Lonchura striata: one gene and its partner. The protein of the gene in region 1 interacts with the protein of each later gene in a pairwise test. Links are inferred from orthologs where the notes say so. Each region holds a gene or a part of one and is shown in the gene's direction. Other genes may lie near its edges. The genes, in order: FAM168A and UBE2V1.

Evidence for each region.
Region 2: the proteins of FAM168A (region 1) and UBE2V1 interact in binary tests that used the Homo sapiens proteins (3 or more experiments, as listed by UniProt). The two-hybrid records come from large-scale screens. The link is inferred for Lonchura striata from reciprocal best matches to the Homo sapiens genes FAM168A and UBE2V1.

What each region holds. Positions count from the first base shown.
Region 1 is NC_134604.1:18,427,382-18,435,102, reverse strand, and holds the start of FAM168A (protein FAM168A), read left to right. Parts: upstream 1-4,700; 5' UTR 4,701-4,800; intron 4,801-7,721. Other genes in the region: PLEKHB1 (pleckstrin homology domain-containing family B member 1), read right to left, coding at 703-855, 1,312-1,348.
Region 2 is NC_134619.1:945,468-953,433, reverse strand, and holds the start of UBE2V1 (ubiquitin-conjugating enzyme E2 variant 1), read left to right. Parts: upstream 1-4,788; 5' UTR 4,789-4,859; coding exon 4,860-4,881; intron 4,882-7,966. Other genes in the region: PEDS1 (plasmanylethanolamine desaturase 1), read left to right, coding at 733-854. UniProt on the Homo sapiens protein: Has no ubiquitin ligase activity on its own. The UBE2V1-UBE2N heterodimer catalyzes the synthesis of non-canonical poly-ubiquitin chains that are linked through Lys-63.

The sequences.
Region 1 (7,721 bases):
GGTTAAAAGCCAACACAAGGAATGAGCTGATGGGCAGAAACCTCCACCCCCATGGCAGAAAGAACATGGTAGGGCAGCAAACCCCCAAAAAGCTGCTGGAGGCCATGAGGCCGAGCTGCCTGTGCTTTAAACTTGCCAGGGCGCACCCAAATTTTGTAGGAACAGGAGATGCTTATTGCTAGAGTGGGATCATGAGCTCCAGCAAGAGCAAAATCTTAACTCCCTGAGGCTCGTGTGTCTTCCCCCATCCTGAAGCTTGGCAGGACCCTGTGGTGAGCACAAAGCAGTGGGTTTGTGCTCCCATGGCCACTCCCAGCCCAAGAAAGGCACTTTGTGTGGCGGCCGTGGGCTGCGGGGCCCGCCAAGCTGCTGCTTTGTTCCCCTTGTTTGTGCGAGACGTGAGCGATGAGTCAGGGCCGTGGGATCCTGTTTGTTACAAGCACAAGCCAGGAGGAGAGTTCCTCCTTCCTTCCTTCCTTGCTTCCTTCCCTCCTTCCTTTCCCCAGGAAAAGCAACAGCAGAGACCATCCAGCATCTCCTGGCTGGGAGCGAGGAGGGGTGAACGAGGCAGCCTGGGGTTATTAATGGGCTGATTTGGGGGTCTGCTGGATGTGCACAGGTGGAGCCTCGTTTGAGAGGAATGCAGCCACACGTGGGATGGGGTTGGGAATGCAGGGCTCGGGAGCGAGGGGTTCGGTTCACCTTTGCATTCACGGCCGATCCGCACGTCCCGACAGCTGTACTTGATGTGGATCCGGCCGTCCATGTCCTGCTGTGTCTCGTCGTGGTAGTAAACCAGGCTGCCATCCAGGTAGAGGATGAACCAGTTCCTCTTCCAGCGGCGCAGGATGGAGCCTGGTGGGACAGGGAGCGGGTGCAGGAGCCCAGCGAGCCCAGTGGGACACAGCCGGCACGCTCACAATCTCATCCCCCACACTTGGATCCCACCCGTGAGCCGCTGCATCCCACAGGACACCTGTGCCTGGCACAAGCATCCGGGGCAGTGTGAGCAGGTGGCTGTAAGCGGGAAAAGGCTGCCAAAAAAGCCATCAGGCCACTGGGTGCTGCCCTGCCGAGCGCACGGGAGCAGATCCAGCCCCGGACACAGAGCTGTGTGTGTTTTCATGGCAGGCAGCCCCTCTCTCCGCTGACGTAAATCCGCGAGCGGCTGAGCCACAATCTCCCTGCTGTCGTGGATTACCTGTCAAGGTTGGGGCTCCTTGTGTCCCCCACACCCCACCTCTTCCCAGCAAACCTCTCCGGGCTTTTCTGGAGGGCTCCCAACTCAGAAAGCTCAAGGATGGCACTTACTCTGCCGCCAAAGCCAGCCACTCTTCACCAGCGCCATGGCTGCCGCAGGCTTCGCCGGATCTGCTGGGATGGGAACAATAATGGGGTTAAAACAGCAGCTCCTGCCTCACCCCGGCTCTACCCATGGCTCTAGGGATGGGGATTCACCCTTGCTGCTCCTGGTATTTTTGGGAGATGAGCTCAGTGCCTGGGTTAATCAGGGTTAGGCCGACGTGGGATTTTGTCATCTGGGAAATGTCGCGAAGGAGGCGCTCTGGCCACCTTTCCTTTTGCCTTTAATCTCATTGGGATTTAGGGATTATCAGTCCGTGGAGGTAAGTGGAGAAATCCGGGCTGTGTATGAAAACAGGCAGTGCGTCCCCACAGCCCCAGTAACTTTCCATGCTGAACGACACCTACACTTGTTTATTTTCCCTGCCTGGATAGAAATGAGTCCTTAATAAGGCCATGAAGTCATCGCTCCCCAAGTCCCCGAGCAGAGCCAACCCCCAGGGACAGGCAGGAGCAGTTCCCTGGCCATGGCCCCCGTATCCACTGGGAATCCCAGCTCCCAGTGATGGGAACTCGGCAGCTTGGGATGGCCTCCAGGATCTCCCACCAGCTCCGGGGGCACGGCAAGCCACAAACACCCTCCCAGCACCTCTGTGCCTGCCTTACCGAATGCCTGAACCCCCGAGTATCCAGGTCCCCATGGCGTTTGCAGCCCTGGTACCATCACCTGTACTGCCACATCCCCAGGAAATCCCAGCCCATGGATACCCCCATCCCCTGGCACCCCCAGGTACCCCCATCCCTCTGCATTCACAGCCCTGTGCCACCACCCTCATCCCACTCTGCTTACAGTCCCTCGGTACCCACATCTGGTGCCCTCATCCCACATCCCTGACGTCTTCCCTGCTCCGTACCCACTTTTCGTTGCACGGTTCTGCCCCCCTCGGGAGCCCGCCCCTCTGAGTACCGGTCCCCCGGGCACTCTCCGTGCCCCGGCCCGCCGCCCCCGGCTCCCCGAAGCCCCGCGCATCCCTCACTCACCGGGCGGAGGCGGCGGTGCCCGCTGCGGGATGCGCTGCGCTCCGCTCCCGCCGCCCGGCTCTGCCCGCCCGCGCGGCTCGCCGGGAGCTGTAGTCCGGCACCAGCATCCCCGAGTGCTGCCCGCCGGGAAAACCCCGCTTCCCAGAGCTTTAGCCCCAAAAAGCTGCTGCCCGGCGCCTGCGCGGCCGGCGTGCCCGTGATTTATCCAGCAGCTCCCATCCGCGCTCTCTCCTCAAATCCTGCCTTTCTTCCGGACACGGAGCACATCCAGCACTGTGGGTGACCCTGGAGAGGCTCACCCGAGCAGGACCCCCGAATTTGGGGGTCTGGAGGGGGGGAAGCTGCTGCTCCACACCGAGCTTGGCACAGGGAGCGATGCCTGGGGCATGCAGGAATTTCCTCTGGTGCTGGGAATGGGTCTGAGGAGGTGTCTGGTGCCAAAAAGCATAAACAGGAAAAATCCAAGTTTTAAGCACCGAAGTGCTTGTCTGAAATAAATTTCCAGATGGAGCGAACAAAATCAAGGCTTGTCCTGGCAGGAATCAGAACTGTCCTGGGCTCTGGGACATGAGGTTGGATTATTTGGGGAAGTCAAGACACAAGTCAGGTGACAGCTGAGGCTGGGTCGTTAATAAAATATGTTTATTGAGCACATGGCAACAATTAATATATATTAAAAAATTCTATTCCAGCATGGTTTTCAATGTGAAGCCCTTTCCCCTCCTCTCCCTCACTCCAGCATTGGCTTTAATTCATTTTTCAGAAGGAATTAAATTAATCCAGCGGCCTGCTGGACGATCCCAAAGGAGTTAAATGGGAATCACCCACTCAGCCAGGCCACACTCACAGCCTTGTGCATCCCCCCGTGCTGGTTATGGGGCTGCAAAACATCCTGCCGCTGCTGAATATTCCCAAAATCACGGGAATTATTTGGAAATCCAGCTTTGCCCTGCCATGAGTTCGGAAAAATGTTCCGTTAGGAAAGGATTTGGGCTGAAATTTGGGTTTGTCCTGGGTTATTGGGCTACCTCTCCAAACAGACATTAATTGGAATTAGTTCTCAAAACTTTTCCATTGTGGTTTTCCTCTTGGGAAGGAAACGGTGCCAGTGGGGGATTTGGGGGGGCTTGGTCTTTTTTTTTTTTTTTTTTTTTTTTTGTTAGCTAGGGTTTCCAGCCAGCAAAAGGAGAGGATGCCATGTGGGAGTACACGCTCAGAAGAGCCAGATCCTGGATTCCCCCCGCAGTTTTCCACAGCAGTGGGGTGTTGTTTAATAAAATCCATGAACTTCGATGCCTCTGGTTTGTTTTTCCTCCAGCTCTGCCTGTTGTGGCTCATGCCTGGTGAGGATCTCCATCCCAGCCACAGCCTTCCAACACTCTTCCCACGTCTCAGGAAATCCCTGTCTTCCACAGGGGGTCTCCCCAGATTCCAGGGAGCTCTGGGGGTTCAAAGCTGAACGTGGGGACAGAACTTGCTGTTCCCGTCATCGCCACTCTCGGGACAGGTGGCACCTGGTGAAATCCCTCGGCAGCTCCTTTTCCTGCAGCCGAGCGTGTCCCGTTGGTGCCGCTGGAATCCCGCGGGAGGGATGTTTGTCATGCCCCGCAGCCAGGGCAGCGCGTCCCGGGGCAGGGAGCGGACCCCCGGTACCGCTGTCCCCGTTCCCAGGGCAGGCTCCACTTGCAGGGCTCGGGGCCCGCGACTCCCGGCGCCAATCCCCACCGAACCGCTGTCGTGAGGGGGCTGGGGCGGGGGAGCGCCCTCGCGTCCCTCCCGTGGGATGAGACCCACGGCACTCTGCAGCTCCTCCCGAATTGCTCCTTCCCTGCCCCGACAGGCTGAGGCTGCTGTGGGCGCGAGGAGCCACAGGCAGAGCTCTGTGGGGGCGGCACGCCAGGCCGGGCCCGCGGCTCCCCGCTCCCCTCCCGGACCGCGGCCCTGCGCTCGCCAGGTTATCCGGGAAGGGGCTCCCGGAGCCGGGATCAGATCGCGGATCGCCCCGGAGCCCCACCTGGCACAGCCCGGTGGGATTCCCGGAGCGGCCTTCTGCCGCCCGTCAGCCTCCTCGGACTACAGCTCCCGTCATGCCTCGCTGAACTACAACTCCCGCCATGTCCGGCGGCTCTACCCATCCTGTACTACACCTCCCAGCACGCCCCGCGCCCGTCCGGGCCCTGTCGCCTTATGTCCTTCCCCCGCCTGCAGCACGGACTACGCTACCCATAATCCCTCGCGCGGGGCGGCCAGCGGCGGAGAGCTGCTGCGGAGCGCGGAGCATGCCGGGAGTTGTAGTCCCCGCAGCGGCGGCTGTAACGGTCCCGCTGGTGGTACTGCCCCCTCTACCCCCCCCCATTCCCGGCTGGCGGCTGCGGGAGCAGCGGGAAGAGGAGGAGGAGGACGAGAGGGAGAGCTGCTGCACCGGCATAGGGGCCGCCGCCGCCCGAGAAGCCGCAGGTAAGGGGAGGGGAAGGGAGAGGGGGACACCCCCGGGTGACAGCGGCGGGAAAGGGGTGGCGGCGTGGGGGCACTGTGGTGATGGAGGGGGGCGGCCGGGGGCTGCCCCGGAGCGCACAGGGAGGGGGCGGCGGGGCAGCATCCCCCCAGCCCCGGGCGGGGAGCGGAGCGCGGAGCCCCGGGGCGGGGGGAGCCCGGCAGAGCCCGTGTCCCCCCGGGCGCACGGAGCCCGCTGCTCCCGGCGCGCCTGTCGCTGTGTCCTCGAGGAGCCCGCTCTCCCCGGGGGCTCTGCCGGGGGTCCCCCCTCCCGTAGTCCCCCGGGCTGGTGTCCCCCGAGTCCGCTGTGTGTCCCCGTCCATCCCCCCAGTGCAGCCTGTTGTTCCCGCACCGGGCTGTGCGCCCCCCCAACCCCCCCGCCCTTACCAGCCTGTTGCCCCCCAAAATCTGCTGTGCCCCCTTGGCAGGGGCTGAGTCCCCTCCAGGGGCTGTGCTCCGCCCCAGGCTCACCCCCATCCGTGGGAGCAGGGGACGGGATGCCCGGGCTTGGGGGGCATCCCCCAGGGATGGGCGAACCCCCCAAAATGTCCCGAGGGGCACGTGTGGCCGGCAGCGGGCATGGGGACCGGACCTGCCGGCAACTCCGTGCGACGGCCGGGGCCGGGCTGAGCCGCAGCCCTGTCCCGCAGCCCTCCTCTTCGGGGGGCGAAACGCTTTTGAAATGGGGATGAAATGGGGATAAAATGGTTAAAGGCTTCGCGGAGCGGGGGGATATAGGCGCGCAGCATCCACAGGAATGAAAGCAGGGACGTCCAGGCTGGGAAATGCGAGGCGGTGTTGAGATTTTTCTGCCCGGATAAAATGCGTGTTCCGGTCGGGTTTTTTTTTTATGAAAATGTGGATTATATCCCCAACCCCCTCCTCCCCCCCCCCCCCCCCTTTTTTTTTTTTAATGTCTTTTTAATAAGGACTGCTCACATGCTCTGTTGTTGGCATTGTGGTGTTCAGGGCAGCGAAGTCCATAGCTATATTGTGGGTGAATAATGTCAAAAAGGAGCTTGGTTTCAGTCCTTCATAGAAAGCAGGGGAGCCTGGAAGTATGAAAATGAAATAAATATTCATCAGCAGAAAGAGGTTTTCTACCGGGTTGGGTCTGGGAGGCGTTTTTGCCCCCCACTGCACATGGTGATGAGCTTTTGGGTTATGATTTGTGTCTCCATAGGCTGAATTTTATTTATTTGGTGCTCATTATTGTCAAGTGCAGAAAAATGAGCAGGTTGAGGGTATTTTTTCCCCCCTCTCCTGGACAAAGACATGTTGTGCTAAGCAGAAAGAAACCCCAGAAAGATTCTATTTCTGTTTTAATCTGAATATGATTTAAGATGCAGTGGTGTGTTTATTTTTGCTGTTAAATAGTGATGGAGGAAGTCAGAGCCTTTTTTTGTGTGTGTGTGTGTTTTTAAAGGAATGTGAATGATGGAAACATCTTTAGGGAAACATTTTGCTGGACTTGATTGCATCAACTGCATTATTTCATAAAATGTGAGCTGTGAAGTGGTTGTTGATTAGAACTCAAATTGAGAAGCAATGTTGAGCAATGTAAAGAAAAAGGAAATTAGTATGAAGAGGCCAAATGCTTATTTTCTTTTTTTTTCCCAGTTCTTTCTGATTCTGAATTTTAACTGTTTTGTAGATTCTCTTGATCCTTATGGTTGAGTCTATTTGAAAAAACACCCCAAACAACAACTATGATCTGTATATTTATTCTTGTTATATATACATAGTTATTAAAAGGACTGATATCAGCATTGTGTATTTTGCATTAAATTTATGTTAAATCTGATTAACTTTTGTTCTGTAAGTTGCAAATACCAACTTACCCTGTTATGCATCTGAACTTTTTATTTACCAAAGCAAATGTTGACCTTTTTTTAGAAGGAATCTTTCTCTCCCAAATCCTGTGCTTTTTTTTAAGGGAAAATGGGATAAGTGTTCCAGATGTTATTGTCCAGATCTGGGGGGTTTGTGGTGTATTCTTCAGCTGATTAAAATTCCTGGCTGTCAGCAAAGACACACTTTCTTTGGACAGGTAGATCTATATCCACTGGAACAAAGGGACTGGAAGCAGAATGTGTTTGGAGTTTGTTCAGAAAATATTCCTCGGCATGAGAAACCTAAACTGCAGAAAATTTTACATGGCATAACCGGAATACAGTCATTTAGGGAGAACATTTGTGGAGGTGCTTTCTGCTCTTGGTTGATACTCACCTGTCCAACTCCATGGTGAGCCTGCATTGCAGTGGTGAACAACCCAGGGGGGTTTAAAATCTTTTAAATCAAGTGAAGTTTCCCTGGTCCCCATGATCCTTAACCCACCACAGGGGTAATGGGGAAGAACAAGGCAGAGAGGTGCTGAAAACATTTCTGAGGAGAGCGAGAACGCTTTGGAGCAGCACTTCTGTGAAAGGCCTTCAGTACCTGCGCTGGAGGCATAATTAAAATGATAATTGAATTGGGGCTAAATTGAATTTTGTGCTGTGCCTGGCAGAGCTCAGCTTGGGAGGTGCACAGGCAGGGAGGTGTGCATGGGATCCAGGGCACTGCCTGCCTTTGGGAAGTTCTCCAAGGCATGGGCTTGGCTCCGCTCTCCCTCGCAGGGAAGTGGGATGTTCACCTCTGGGATGTCACCTGCTGGCAGAGCTGTGAGCAGAATTCCCTCTGGCTCTGGGTCCAGGTGTGCTTGGCAGTTCAGACCTTGCTCCTCAGGTCCTCGGAGCCCTGCGTGCTCCCAGCCAGGAGCCCTGAGCACGTTCCCAGCTCTTTGCAAAGCAGTTGTTGGGAGGGAAAGCAGCTGTCAGGAGGGAAACGCAACTTTGATATCTTCCTCTGTGAGCCCTCTCTTCCCTTCAGCACGGGTTAGGAGC
Region 2 (7,966 bases), on another chromosome or scaffold:
GGACACTGTGTGACACCTGCAGGGCCAGGCAGCTCACTGTGCTCTCGCAGGCTCCTGGCAGAACTGCATAGACAGTGTGGGGGAAGGTTTGTGATCAGCTGCAGGAACTCGGAGCCTCAGGGAGCATTCAGTGGTGCTGGGATCTGATTGCCTGGGCTCTCGAGCTCAGGCCACTAATGGGGTTTGTTCACTAAAGCTGCTCAAAAAGAGCAGAATGTCCACAGCTGCTCTGGAATGCTCATTTCTAAAGGCCAAGCTTCTGGATTTTCAGCATCCACTCATTCTGACTCAGAGGTGGACAGGTCTGCAGAAAGCTTTAGCTTCCTTTTATATCCATACAGGTGGGAATGCTCAGTCACCAGTGTTGCACAATCCTAAATAAGTTATCAAGTTAATCAGACAGCTGGAATTAAACCATCCTGGTTCTTCATTCTCTCATTGGCTTTGACAAACGGTTCATGTGGGTTTTGAAACCTCTGCCAAGAAAAAAATCTAATTCTCATTAGCAGAATGTCATGTAGAAACATGGTACAATTAAGAAGCCTGACTTGACAGATGGTAGCAAAAATCTTGCCACCTAAAGAGCTATTTTTAAGTCCTACTATGTGCTGAGAGTTTAAGCCTGACCATTATTAGCAGTATTGGGCCGGTTGCTTCTTTTTCTCATTAAAAAAACGCTGAACTTTGGACGCTATGACAAACTAATCCTCTTTCTCCTTTGCAATCCATTAGGTTGGCTGAATTATCCGTTAGAGAAGATAAGATTTTGGAGATGTTTGGAGAACATCATCCAAGGACTTACTGGGGAGAAGCCAAGAGCAGATGACATGAAATGGGCTCAGAAAATCAAATAACTTCTGCCAGCCTTCTGCAATCCTTAACTTGTTGCCAATGTTGTTTTTAAAAGAAAAAAAAAAATAATAAAGCCATCAGCCAAATTCAAGACCTGCAAAGAAATAACAGACTCTAAAGCACAAACTAAAAAGTGCTAACACAGACTGCAATGAAAAGAACTAATTCTTAAAACAATACTTGAAATGAAGATGATTACTCTCACTGAGCACCTTTTTGTGTAGCCATGTCTGCTTACACCTTAGAGCTTGCTTCGTCGCTGTATCCGTGAGGTACCGGGCACGCCGGGGGCACGTGGGGCGCAGGAAACGTGTGTTGTATCAACATTCCCAAACTTCCCGGACAGCCTGCGGCCCAGGACCTGCGGGGAGAGCGCTGGCAGGGTCGGCACTCGGTGTTGGAGTGCGGGGCACTGCGTGAGAGCGGGGGGAGCAATGGAAGCCTGGAAATCATGACTGCTCAATGCACGGTGATTGATCCACCTACAGCTCTGTCTGCACGATCATGTTCAGCCTGATTGATGCCATGTGGAACAGACCTCGAGAATCCCGCTCCTCCAGGGGCCACCAATCCTCAAGTGTCTTCAGTTTCCCTTAAAACAAAATCGTTCTACTCTCCTCGTGGAATTGAGTTTCTGCATAAGCCTTCAACTTCAGGGGCCTCTGAGGGGAGGGAGGGCACCCTACAGCACATGTGTCTGTTCGTGTGGAGTGCTCACTGCTGAGTCTTCTATCAAGTGTTTCCTACCCTGACAATAAATGTTTGAAATAGTTCTAGCATTGGGCACACTGCAAATAGCTGTATTCAAGAGCTCAAGGTATCAAACTCGTAATGTTAGAAGGGAAATGTCAATGACCGGTGTTTTGTTCTTTTTATTTTTTTAAGGTGCTTGCTTGTTTCTGTAAATAATATAAAGCCTTAATCTCTTCTGGTGTAATGGAATAATATTTTAATGTGATGTTTGAATGTATATAATATATTTATAACAAAGCAGTTGGATAATACTAATCACGTTCAAGTCTTGTTGCTGTTTTTCATTGCTGCACTGGCAGCACTTAGTGCGAGAGCTGGATCGGTGGTTGCACAACACCTCGTGCAGTCCCACCTGAGACACCTGGCAGCCTGTCACAGCTTGTTTGGGTTGGAGTGATCATGTGCCAGCGTTTTAGGAGCCTGGCATTATGTTATACCAGACTTCTACACCTTTGGAGAAGTGTAAGTAATTCATTCTGCTCTGGATGCAGAGGAGTAACCCCAACTGAGCTGGGGTGAGGAAGTTTCTCTAAAAACATCCAACAAGCACTTTACTAAGTTAATGTGACTTGGATCTTGTTCAGTTCCTGCCTGCCTGAGAGCTTAGTGCTGATCAGATGTAAGGAATGTTCCCTCCTCTAGCTGTAAGTTGTGTTCCATTCAAGCTGCCTCTTCCTGAAGAGCAGGGTAGGATGGTTTGGAGTCATAGGTTTAGACTGAGCTTGATCTGCACTCCTGCAGATATGGCGGATGGATTCTGAATGAGTTGGGACGTGGCAACTCTCCTTCAGTGGGAGTGCTGAATGCAGATGCTTCCGAGCTGGGTTCTGCAGATTAAAATCACTGTTGGTACCTTGCTCACCAAATATTTCATCTAAGTGCTCAGACCCTTGGAGAACTTTATGCCATGACATGAAACTTTCCTGTTCCCATTGCCGCAGTCACTAGCAGGTCTCTGTGCAGCTTTGACATTAAAGAATTCTTCCACTTCAGCAGGAGTCCCAAAATGCCTTCAGCTGATTCTGGAGAGCTCTGGACAGAGCTGGGTGGATGTTCAGGGCTCCTGTGTAAATCAGCCTGAAGCACTGGATCCTCTGAGAGCTCTTTTCACTGCAGCTTTAAATGCCGAGTGAGCAGCAGTGGTGCAGTGGATGAACAAATGGATTTGGGACACAGGAATCACCAGAATTTGGACTTCCAAAGTGTTGTTTAAGGCATTGCTGCTGCCCAAACCTCTCTTGGCCACTGTTGCCTTACTGGAAACAAACCTGAGCTACTCATACTGGTGGCTGCTGGGACGATTTATCTGTTAATCTTGCTTAATTATGAGAAACTGGGACAGAGTTAATCTCCAGATGCATTTTCCACGTGGCTGCTGTGCTGGGCTCCTGGGGCAGCCCTGGCTCTGTGACCCCACACCCGACGTGGCTGCGGCTCCAAGGTCCCTGTTCTACCCCTCCAAAGACCTGGATGCTCCCACAAAATCAGTATGGCAATTCTGGAGCAAAAGGCTGCGTGGATCCTTTTAACAGCTGTAAATCTGGCTTAAGAAAATTTGTCTTAAGTTGATTAGGAACAGATTAGAGCTGAAGCAGAATAAGGCACTCCTGTTAAACTCGTAAGGAATAGATGGCCTGCATTTCAGTCCAATGCTTTTAAATGCTTTTAAAAGCTCTGATTTCAGTCTCACCTCCACGGAGAACTCTGCTCAGGCTCCTGCTCTCTGGACCTTCAGAAGGACTCTCAGGCCTCCAGCTTTTGCCAGGGCTGCAGCTGCCTTCCATGAGTGGATCTTGTGGTCAGAAGGGCCTTGGAGGAGCAGCTGTGACCGCTTACGTGCATCCCAGGAGCAGGAGTGATCCCTGTGTCCATCCCAGGAGTGATCCCTGTGTGTATCCCAGGAGCAGAGGTGACCCCTTACGTGCATCCCAGGAGCAGGGGTGATCCCTGTGTGCATCCCAGGAGTGATCCCTGTTTGCATCCCAGGAGCAGGAGTGATCCCTGCACACATCCCAGGGATGATCCCTGTGTGCATCCCAGGGGCAGGGGTGCTCTGCACTGCAGAACCCCCCACTCAGAGCTGTCTGGGGTCACGGCTGCACAGGGCAGTGTTGCGCTGTAGTCAACTGCAGAAAATTACTGCAGAGTGCCTCAAAATCCCACTTGGAGGTTTTGCTCAGGTGTGGTCGCTGCGATCCTCCCGGGCCAGGAGTTAGCAGGGTACAAGGTGGAGGGGAGGGAAAGGAGTCACCAGCCTGCACCCCAAAGCTGTTGGGGAGCCGTGCTGCTGGGGCAGGTGGGCTCTGCCCGCCGAGCTGGGCTCTCATGCACCTAGCTGCTTCTGCTGCTGCCTTTCTTCTTTCCTTCCTGCTGCCTTTTGCTCTTTCCTTCCTCTTTCCTTCGTGCTGCCTTTCCTCTTTCCTTCCTGCTGCCTTTCCTCTTTCCTCTTTCCTTCGTGCTGCCTTTCCTCTTTCCTTCCTGCTGCCTTTTGCTCTTTCCTTCCTCTTTCCTTCCTCTTTCCTTCCTGCTGCCTTTTGGTCTTTCCTCTTTCCTTCCTGCTGCTTTTCCTCTTTCCTTCCTGCTGCCTTTCCTCTTTCCTCTTTCCTTCGTGCTGCCTTTCCCTGCTGCCTTGTCCTGCCTCTTCCTGTGCCTTTTTCCGTCCTTCCTGCTGCCTCGGGCCGGCCCGTGCTGAGCGCGGCTACAGAGAAATCTGACTGCGTGAATAAAAGGCGGCCAAAATGTGACCGGGTGAATAAATCCCAGCAGTGAGACCAGCAGTGCTGGTTTAAAGCAGCTCCGGGAGCAGCTGAAGCTGCCGTGGGTCTCCGAGACGTTTCGCTTCGTGACAATTGTGGCTGCTTTCGGAGGATGCTTTGGGCTCCGCTTTATGAGCGTGTGTTGCAGAGAGAAGTGAAGCAGAACTCATTTCCTTCCCATTTCTTTAAGCTTATTTCCGTATAATGCAGGAAGGGAGAGGGCTGGAAGAAGCTTGGCCGGAGTGTCAGGGGCGTCCCGTGCCCGCCACGGTGTCCCGGAGTCCCGGGGCCGGTGTCCGGGGCCGCACCGAGCGGCGGCGCCGCCCGCCCGCGCGGCGGAGCCGCGGGAGCGCCGCGCGTGAACCACAGAGCTCCCCGCGCGCGCCCGCCCCGCCCCGCCGCCAGCTCCGCTTAGCGCGCCCGCCCGCCCGCGCCTGTCCGCCGTTCCCGCGTTGCGGTGACGTCAGGCGGGGGCGGGGCCGGCGGCGGCGGCGCAAGATGGCGGCGACCACGGGCGCGGGTGAGCGGGGCCGGGCCGGGCCGGGCGGCGGGGCCGCGCCTCGCCCCGGGGCTCCGCGGGGCCGCGCCTCGCCCCGGGGCTCCGCGGGGCCGCGCCGGGGACGGCGGGGCGGAGGGGCGGCCGCGGCCGGGGGAGGGGCGGCGGCGCGGCCCGAGCGGGGCCCGGCGGGGCGGGGGTGGAGCCGGAGCCGGCCCCGGGTCGGGCCGCGGGTCCGGCGGGCCCGGCCGCGCCGGCCGGGGTGGCGAGGCCCGGCGGGAGCGGGGCCGGGCGGGCCGCCGCCCCCGGCGGTGGTTCCGGAGGGGACCGGGCGCTGTAAAAGCCGTTCTGGCCCGTGGCCTCTCTCTGTGTGCTCCGAGAAGGCAGTGCGTTTTTTATTCCTTTCAAACCTGCTCCACTCCGCACACCAGCTCTAAGGACTTGCACACGCTCTCCGTCCCGATCATTACATATGAAACAAAAGTACTGCAGCTCGATTTGGACTGAGGTTTTTTTCCTGTTGGCATCCTCTAATGAACTTCAACAGATCGAGTAAATCAGAGTCACTTCTGTTGAGGCAGTTTTATTTTCCTGTTTTCCCAGCCCACAGAGGGTTTCACATGTGCCCCTGTAGTGCTTGTTTCCACATTGCACTCTCCAAAGTTTGACTGTGCTCACCAGACGTATTTTGGAGTTCTTTTTGTACAGATAGTTCTCTGTCAGTCACCACTCAGATTTTAAGGATTACCGTCATACCACAATGCACATAATTCACAATAATCAAGTTAATAAAAGATTGGTTAAGTGCAGTGGTTGCTGTTATGAGAATTGTGCTACAGGTCTGTGTTTGAAGGTGTTGAGTCGAGACCCAGAAGCTGTAGCTGGGAGGAAGGGACCCTCCTTCCCCTGTTAGGTCACGTTCTCCTGCCTGCTCTGCCTTCTCAGTGATCCTTTCAGGCTGCTGACTTTGCACTTTGTGTCTGGCTGGCAGAACAAGGCCAATACTTTCCTTTTCAAGGCAGCGCAGCCCTGAGAGAGAATTGTTGGGTGTTCATGGGCGGGCAGGTGTGGGAAGGGGCTGGGCTGCAGTGCCAGGGACAGGCTGTGGTTACCTGGCAGCCGCTGGCCACGCTGTGTCTGCTGCATTGTCCCCTTGTCCCCTGGGTGTGTGGCACTGTCACGGCTCCCTGTGAGCAGGGCCAGTGAGCAGTGTGGGCACACAGCTGCGCCAGGCTGCCGGACAGACCTGCAGTGCTGCAGGAGCACTGCATGGCTGCACCAAGGCCAGGGCTCGGTCTGGGCAGCTCCGGGGCTGGGAGCTGGAGCTGTGGCTCCTGGGCTGCCCTCGGAGCACTCTGCAGTGCTGGGAAGGGCAGAGCTCCTCTGAGCTGCTGGCAAGGGCAGCGGTGCCCGGGGCTGGCAGTGGCACTGCACCGCAGGCCTGCGGGTCCCTGCTGCCCTGCAGGGGAGGCATGGGCTGGAGGTGGCACCTCGCTGTCCCCTGCTGTCCCCTCTCCGGGCTCTTTGGAACGTGCCTCACTGCTGCCTTCACTCACCTGGGAAGCACAGCTTGCTAAAGCTTCTTTCATGGAGCCTTAATGTGTACGTATTTGTCTGTAAAGCACTGGAATATATGTGATATCTTGAGTTCATGGTGGTTTAAGCAATGGAGCCTAAACACATATTGAAGATGCTCATCTGTCTTCAAAAGCAGCTATTGACCCAGAGGAAGAAGTGGTAACGAATGTCCCTGGGACCTAAAAAAGCCATAGGGCTGGACCTGGCAATTAGACAGGTGGATCGATTAGCAGGTAGAAATTATTAACAAGGAAAAAAACCCAACCCTCGGCCTGGAAGGAATGTTAGGATGTGGGGTCCATCTGTGCTACTGAGGGAGGGGAATCCTGTGTTGGTGGTGATGTGGGTTTCCCACCCACCCCATTACTATTTGAATAAAAAGAAAGGGCTGACTTTAATGATTTTAATAAGGCTGTTCATAGGAGACTCCACTGTGTGTGTGTCCATCCTACAGACCGAGGTGTCCTGCAGGAATGCTCAGCTGTCAGAGGTGATCTAGCAGGAATTCAGGGGTTCCTCAGAGGCTCCTGCACTGGCTGGGCTGCAGTTACACGACAGACCTTGCACCACAGTGCTGGCCTGCAGATTTGGGTTTTATAATGAGTGAAACCCAACCATGCTGGCCTGGGGGATTGTGTTTCTCTCACTTTCACCCTGGGAAAGGTTTAACGACCTCACTTAACCCACTTTGCTCTCACAGTTCAGTTTAGTGGCTCTGTTGCAGGGCTGTGAGGCACTGTGTTTGCCAGCAGCCAGGGAGGGCTGAGTGGTAAAAGGGTTTGTCCAGATCTAATTTTTTCCAAGTCTGAGACAGCGTGTGTGGCTGTGACAGTGCTGGTGCTCATGGCTCAATGCTCCTGCCAGAGGAGAGCACGCTTGGGGTTAGTGCAGTGCATTCAAAGGGCCTGTTTCTAACCCTGTAACATCCCTGTAAACTCCACGGGATGCTTGTGAAAAGCACAGGACAGGGCAGTGGGAGAATTGCACAATACAGGTGCACCTGCCTTTTGCAGCCCCAGGCTGGCTCCTTGGAGGGACAGCATCATCCTCATCTCAAAGGAAACGCTGCCAGCACCCAGGGCTCTCTGGGACTGGAAGGGAAAGACTCAAGGGTAGGGGGAGAGTAACTGAAGAGAAAATGCAAGATAAATTCTGGGTTCTTAAATAAGATGGGCTGTAAGAGCATGTGAAATAGGGCCAGAGGAGGTGATTGCAGGGCTTTGTGTACAGTAACAGGATGCAGTAGATTGAATAGAAAGGTAACTAGTTCAACACTCCTATGAGATGATATTGAATTCAGTATTTTCATCTTCAATTATATAAATTACATAATAAGATTGAAAAGCAGCATTCTGACTGTGAACAGGACTAATTAGTATAGTAAATATGTAGACAGGTAAGGATCCTGGCAGGTGTAACACTGACAGATTTGGTGAGGGTGTGAAAGTTGGGATTTTCAGGCTGTGAGGGTGCTGTTCAACTCCTGCAAGTGCAGCTACAGTTACTGATGGTTTGTGCCCCATTCCCCTGG